Oryzias latipes: one gene and its partner. Each later gene encodes a partner of the first gene's protein in a complex. Links are inferred from orthologs where the notes say so. Each region holds a gene or a part of one and is shown on either strand. Other genes may lie near its edges. The genes, in order: exosc3 and exosc5.

Region 1 (3,899 bases):
TTTATTTTAGTGGTAACCTATCATGTGACAGAAAAGAGAGCCTTGGCCTGCGCCAGGAGTGACATTGACGGATGGAACAGAGAATCTGGCAATTTTTCAAAATAAAACATCTGTCAGATTCCAAAATAAATAAAAAGGAAGCACTGTAAGTTATTTATTCTGTCTGTACGGCCTGGGGGTTGGAGACCGCTGCTCTAGATGGACTCAGATGGCAAATAAAACGGTCCTTGCAGTGCTGAGCTCCACAGGAGTGGCTCCTTGGAGTGACTGCACACAGCAGACTGCACACAGAGCCCCACCCACACTCACCTGGACGTTGGGTCGGTTTCGCTTGGTGGCTCCTTCAAACGCCAGGTAAGACAGAGACGCCAGCTCGCTGCCGCCAAAGTCCACCCTGAAGGTGTCTCCTGCTCGGGCCGTCACGATCCCGATCACGGTCTCCCCTTTAGTGGCGACATACTGAGGAGAACAAACCATTGACTATTCGAGAACTGGACTGAAGGACCCCTCCCTCCTCATGCTCCAAACAGGAAGAACCCGCTGGCTCCAAGAAGCCAAAATCCCATTGACATAACTTCTCACATTGAATGTGTGAAACATTTGACAGATTTTATGTAGCCTGCTTTCAAGTGATAGGGGTGTGACCTTCAAACAAGCTCACTCCTGATTGGCCACTATTTTTTATAAACCATTAGGTTTTCATCATCAGAACACAGTAGATTCATAAAGTCGTCATAAAATGTTCATATTTATTACCTTTCTATTTAGGGAAACGGGTGACGTCATATTGGCATCAGTGTTGGGAAAATGACTTCTAAAAAGTAACTGTTTACTTAGTGTTACAAAATTGTAATTAAATTACTTTACTCACCTATTTAGTACGGTAATTGCCTACCGGTTACTCCACTTTTTTTCCTCTCACATACAGATTCTCAAGGCAAAAAACAGTTTTCACAAACAAGATCCTCTTGTCATTCATATAACTTTATATTCAGAGAAATGACCTTGTGCAAATTTGAACCTGGCTCAAGACATAACCTGGTTTTATTAGAATTCAGACAACAATGTGAAAAAATACACAAAAAAGTTACAACACATGTGGTCTATAGGCCACTGCTCAAAGTGAGATGTGGAAACAAATCAGTTACGCCTATGATCACATCTGTCGAATCCACTCTTTTAAAAACACAAAGAATTATTTAATGCCTCCATGTTCATTTTCTCTGACTTAAGGTATTCCATGACAATGAGTTGTGCCTGTCTCTCTCTCTATACGTCTGGCGTTTGTGCAGTTCTGAGCAGCTGCAGGTCTACTGGACCAACACCACCCCAGCACCCACCTGCAGAGTGCATTGAGCGCCAACTCACGCTGACCAGAGACGCAGTCATGTGCAGCACAGAGAATAATTAAGTCAAAATGGGTGAAATAATATAGTAAACGCCAAGATCCGACTTTAGAGATGTTTCACTGCCAACCAACCCATCATCAGTACACGGGGCGGTTCTCTACTCTGCTGCTCACCTGCTGCTGCTCGGGGAGGACAAGCATCTCTGTTTGTTTCATCTTTGAGCCAGTAAGCCATTTGTATGGGTGACGTCACACTACGATTCTCCTAAGGCAGTGTTTTTCAACCAGTGTGCCGCGGCACACTAGTGTGCCGTGGGAGATGGTCAAGTGCGCCGTGGAGAAATTGCCCTCATTAACTGATCTAAAAACATTTTCCATCTCCAGGATTTCAGCTCTGTGTTCATCCAAACAGGCCCTGATAAAACACTGAGTAGTTAGGAATATAAAAGATCTTAAAATTACTTTTTCTTTGTGTTTATTTAATTCTATTAAAGAGATTTTGATAAAAATCACGGTACCGCGATTTAGCTGCAGCTCTAACTGTGTAAGGAAAAGTCCCGCCCCTTTAACTGTCTCCGCCAATCATTCTTGAAGGCTTAATCACATGTCATCAGTCTGACCAATCAGAAGTGCTTAAAGTCTTCACTTCCTTGTTCTTAATTCTGCTGATAAAGTCGCTCAGTTCTAACAAATATACCAGCTAAAGACGAGCTTTAGCTGGTGGTTCATCTCTTAGAAAAAAACAGCCGCAAATTCCTGCTTTTTCTGCCACAATTATCACAAAAATTCACGTGAGATTGCGGGGGGGGGGGGCGCTGTCGATCAATACAGACCATGAATTTCTGCTTTTTTTTTTTTTTTTGGATGATGGTGTGCCGCGGGATTTTTTTCAGGGTTAAAGTGTGCCGTGGCTCAAAAAAGGTTGAAAAACACTGTCCTAAGGATCAATGGAACGAACGCACGCGGACACATTTATTCACAACAAAGTACATTATTTAAGCAAACACAAGTTTGCAAAAATGAAACTTGTGTTTGCATAAATAATCTGGGTCTAAATTGAAAATACGCAGATCATGTGTGGATTTTTTTAAATTCTTGGTTAGTTGAGTGCATCGAATCAAAACCCATATCTCTGTATCAGTCCATATGTTTTAATTTGATAAATAATTAATTTAGTTTATTTTGATGTATTAGCTTGACGCGTATTTGGTTTTTATTTGATTATACTTTGTTATTTGTAACTGATATTTTTACTATTTGTTATATAAAGCACTTGAGGTGGATTTCATCAGGAAGTGCTATCAATAAAGTTGTGTTTGAATGCTGGTTGTGACCGGACCGCTTCACATTAATGCTCTAAACACGTCTCTGGACCGCTGAACGCAGTTTGTTGGGATCTCAGAACCTTTGGTTCGGACCGGTCCGCTCTTACCCGCTTCTGCTGGGAATCGATCCAGAAGGTGAGCGGCGGTTTGTGCCGCAGCACGCCGCTCTTCATCACCACCAGGCGGTCTCCGCTCCGCCGCAGCCCTGGTCCACACACCGCGCGCTCCGGCTTCGCGCTCTCCGACAGAGAGATCGTTTCCTCTGCACCAAAGCAGAACTCGTCCCCCGGAACCAGAACCTGTCCAACTTTCTCCTTCAGAACGGCGAACATGCCTCCTGTCGTGCTCATGGTCGTCTTCTTCTTTTTGTTGTTTATATCAGATCCTTACTTTGCGCCCCCTGGTGACCAGGAGGAACAATAGCGCTTTCTAAATTATAAGAATTTTCCTGTTTAAAGGACACACCTTTCAAAACGTTTTGGATAAATCCAGGTCTCACCAAATTTCCTCTAAAATAATCGTCTTTGAAAAAAGGTAAAATAATTTTCTACAGAAACAAAAAGTAGTATAAAAATGTCTCAATAGTGTAACACACAGACACACCCACACACACGTACACAACTCAAACGATTTAGGAGCACTAAAAAAGACATGCTATGCCTGAACAAATGAAATATTCTTTTGAAATGCTTCATTCTTTACATATTTGCATGTCCTGACAACACAATAAAATAAAAATAGTAATGGAAATTAAAACTATTCGGCTATGGATGTCTGGATGTGTGAACATTACATGCTGATCCAACTTCAATGTAATTTCTTTGAAACAAGTCAAAATGAGGCTCAGTAGTGGGCGTGGCCTCCACATGCCCATATGATTCCCCTGCAATGCCTGGGTACGCTTCTGATGAGGCAGCGGGTGGTCCTCCAAGGGATCTTCTCTGACGCCTGGACCAAAGCATCTGCTAACTCCTGGACAGTCTGGGGTGCAACCAGGAGTTAGTGGATGGACGAGACATGATGTCCCCGATGTGCTCAATTGCATTCAGGTCTGGAAAGTGTGCGGGCCAGTCCATGACATCATTAGCTTCGTCTGGCAGAAACTGCTGACACTCCAGCCACATGAGGCCTAGCACTGTCTTACTTTAGGAGGAACCCAGGGCCAATCGCACCAACATGCGGTCTCACAAGGGGTCAGAGAATCTCATCTCAGTACCTAATGACAG
Region 2 (3,924 bases), on another chromosome or scaffold:
GAAACACTGAGACAAAAGGATGAACTGAAGGTGACACACTAAAGAAAAACTGCATTTTTATGAAATAAAAAAAAAATAGTTTTGGTGGAAAATGAACCCATTTTTTTTTAGCAAAGTTAGAATTTTTATTAGCCTTTAAATTTGTTTATCCTCCCCTGAGCTGGAATCTGGATCTAAACTACACAGCTGGATTTTTGTTTCACCAGTAAAGTTAGGTCAGGGGTGTGATCTGATGAAAACCGACATCCATGTTTTAGGGATTCTATGAAATGTGACTTTTTTTCATGAAAATTAAACCATAAATTGAGAACTTTTTGTTAAACTTGCTTTCTGATTATATTTCTACATTCAAAGCAGCAAAAATGAAGATTTTCAGGTTAGTGTCAGCATCTTTGGTTGACCTTTTCCTGAGCTGAGGTGGGGTCAGTGATGATCTGCCCGTATGCGCTGATGGCGCAGGTCACGCCGCAGAAGAGGCAGCTCATCGGCAGACCTGCGTCCATGAGGGCCATGCAGGCTGCATTCAGGCAGCAGGACAGGAGCTGCAGAGCAGGTAAGGAAGACGACTCGGCAGGTGCTAGGCCACGCCCCCCGCGGGTTCAGAGGTCGGGTTTAGTAAAGGATACAGAGCCGTCGTCGTGCAGCACCTGGAGGACCAGCGTGAGCGAAGATCGAGGGTGGAGGGTGAGCAGCAGCGCCTCCTCGCAGGTTTCACGCACACACTGCTCCTGCGAGCGCTCCCTCACACCTGGAAAACAGAGGCATGATGGGATATGAGTTCAAAGCTGATAAGGAATCCACTGGCTCCCCCTTATGGCGTAATCCTATAAATCAGTTGCACAAAACATTCCTAAAGAAAGACTTTAATACCTTGATCGGACCTTTGTCTTAATGCTTATTTATAAATTGCAGAACTGTTGAGATACGAGTGAGCCTTCAGATGAAACTAAAACCCACATGAGACCTGAGGAAGTTCATCTTTTTACTGTGATTCAGTAGAAATAAAACAGCATCTGTGATTTCCATTCAACCCAAAGACATGAATGAAACCAGGCTTAAGAGGATATTTGCATATAAACATTTGAATCCATTGAAAGTGATTATAATTGTCTCTACATTTAACAGACTTCCTTCTTTAAAGCTGGATTTATTCATTTTAGAGCAACAAAAACAAGGATTAGTAGTTGTTTTTGCTTTTTTTCTACAACAGATTAAAAACAAAAAGGATTGAATTGGTTTCAGAAAAACCAGACACACGTGACAGCATCTGACTTTTCCAGGACATGCAGCAGAACTTACTCGGCAGACCAACTTTGGGCTGAACCAGCACCTCCAGAGTTGCTCGGTCGTAGATCTCCTTACTGACCTTTACTTCAGCAGGTCCATAAACTCCAGCCATCACACTCGTGTCCCCTCCAGAGACACAAAAACAACACAAAGATCAAAGTTCTATTAAAATAGAGGACAAACCTGAAACAATGATGTGATTTCTACATTCTTATTGTGTCTGTAAACTTTGATCTTGGCTATAAAACATAAAAACAGTGTAAATCTTGCAGTAAATGCATGACCAAATCTGCTGCTTAGAGTGGTGGTTTTGGTTCAGTTTCAGGTTTACTGTAGAATTATTACATAGTATATAATTCATTCATCTTCTAAACCCGTTTTGTCTCTTTCAGGGTCACAGGCCTGCTGGAGCCTATCCCATACACTATATTAAACAATATCTTGAAAAAAAAGAATAAAAAAGAAGATGGGGTCATATTAAAAAAATAATTTAAAGCATTACCCCAAAAAAAAACTTTTATAGGGAAATTATTAGAAAATCTTTGAAAAAATGTTGCTCCAAGACCCCAGACTATACAGTCCGATGCCGGCGATGTAAACAGTTCACAATGACCACTAGGATACAAATATTCAAAGATGATTTGGGGAATGAAAAAAAGAGGATGAGTAAACCAAGAAATAAATATTTAAATTTGAGAGAGCTGATCTGAACACAGAAAGTAAAACAGATGAATCCAACATTTCAACATCTTTATTTATAGAAAAATGACTAGAAATTATTTTTCAAATGTTTGGCTTCTTAATGGTTTAACAGCAGTTGACTTTTGATTACAAAAAACTAAATGTGAAAAGATAAGTTCGTAAAAATATTTAGTTATTATTTAGCTGCTCATTTTTGTTCTTGAATATTAACAATTTTACAACATTTACCAAGAGCTAAAACTAATGCAAAACCAAAATAAAGCAAATACAAAAAGTACTTTAGGACATTCTTAGCTTAAAACTCATTTAAAGATCGTTTGCCAGCAGTCGAGAGTCAAATTATTTCTCTGAAATAATAAGTTTGTCCATAATTCTTTGGGCGGAATCGGGAGTTGTACTCATATTCTTAAAGAAAAAAGTCAACATTTTCCTTCAGCTGTTACCTTGAACGAAAGACGCAGATCCATCCGGCCGAGAAAGTAAACTCTGCTCGCAGCCAAACTCTCGGAGAGAAACATTTGAAGGAGCAGAAACCTCCATCACGTTGCCAACACGGAAGGGGATGCGTCGCTGGACGATGACGTCATCTATTTACCGACGCGAAGGGGCTCTGCATCAAAACCAATGTTGTGTTTTAAATTTTGTGTTCAATAAAAAACAGTCAGAAAGTCAACAACAAAGTAAGTAGTTTAAAAAATATATTATTAACATTATTATTATTATTATTATGATTATTGCTATTGTTGTTGTTGGACACTTTTATTACGTGTCTTTATTTTCCATATAAAATGTATTTTTTACGTATGCCTGTCATTTAATTGGTGTCAGTATTTGACATAAAGACAGCAGGTAATGCAGGCAGTAAAACAGCTGCACTTTTTGAGATTAGACATAAACAATGGATCATTTGTTAATGAATGAATTAAGGCTTTTTGGAGAATTTTTACTGTTGGTGTTGCACAAAATTAGGAAAATGCCAAAATAAACTTTGATTAATTCCAGTGAGGAGTTATATGATTTAGTTTTTAATGTTTTATAAGACCTATAAATGGTTTTCATAATAGCAGTTTAAAAAAAAATCAAATCCCTTTGATACGTTTCACAAAGACACACACAGCACGTCACACAGCAAGCAGAAATGAACTTACTTGCTGACAAAAAATTTGACAAAACAGCAAATAAAACGGAATAATTTGAATTAAATATTTCCAGACTTTGTTTATTTTGTTCTGCAGCATGTTCATATTTGTATAATTTTGACTGAATATATTTTTATGGAGAGCACCGTTATTAACGGTTTAACTTGATTTATTCTGGATTAACAATACTGTCTGTTTTTATTCATTTTTATGTTAAAAAACCTCTGTTATAAAGGTTTAAAAGTATTTTTTGTTTTGTTTTTTAAAGTGTAGCTTTAGTTTGGTAAATAAATGTTGTTGGGCCCCCAACTTAAAGCATGTTTTCTGTTTAGGCCCCCTGTGTGAGTGAGTTTGACACCCCCGTAATACGAGCCCACAAAATTCACGCATCTTTTGTGTAAAATGGCCAAATAAAAATAGGGAACACAAAAGAACGTCAAATTGCACTGGGGAGTTACTCTCCCTGGGAGTAAGTTAGTGCAGAACCACCACTGCAGTCAATAATCAATGAATAATGTCAGAAATGATGATTTATATGTTATTAATTCTAAATAACGTTGTGACAACAGTTGCTATGGGGAACTGCCATATGGCACTTTGTGTAGCATGATAAATAATACATGCAGCACAGCTAATTCTTTCGCAGAGGGAAGAATTCACCGATAAATGAAACTATGCCTTCATGTCTGGATCAAAGTTTTATCAAAACTGCAGCAGTGGAGAAAGTGGTTGCCCCAATCTCCAGTCACCTTTGTCTCCTCGTGCTGCTGTGCGACAGTGAACATGAGCCAGAGCA

The links.
Region 2: exosc3 (region 1) and exosc5 share a complex: the UniProt entries of both Homo sapiens proteins name them as parts of the RNA exosome core complex. The link is inferred for Oryzias latipes from reciprocal best matches to the Homo sapiens genes EXOSC3 and EXOSC5.

What each region holds. Positions count from the first base shown.
Region 1 is NC_019868.2:3,164,035-3,167,933, reverse strand, and holds the start of exosc3 (exosome complex component RRP40), read right to left. Parts: upstream 3,056-3,899; 5' UTR 3,024-3,055; coding exon 2,781-3,023; intron 460-2,780; coding exon 310-459; intron 1-309. UniProt on the Homo sapiens protein: Non-catalytic component of the RNA exosome complex which has 3'->5' exoribonuclease activity and participates in a multitude of cellular RNA processing and degradation events.
Region 2 is NC_019873.2:26,313,023-26,316,946, forward strand, and holds the start of exosc5 (exosome complex component RRP46), read right to left. Parts: upstream 2,576-3,924; 5' UTR 2,530-2,575; coding exon 2,433-2,529; intron 1,414-2,432; coding exon 1,300-1,413; intron 749-1,299; coding exon 627-748; intron 543-626; coding exon 402-542; intron 1-401. Other genes in the region: catenin alpha-1-like, read left to right, coding at 3,803-3,924. UniProt on the Homo sapiens protein: Non-catalytic component of the RNA exosome complex which has 3'->5' exoribonuclease activity and participates in a multitude of cellular RNA processing and degradation events.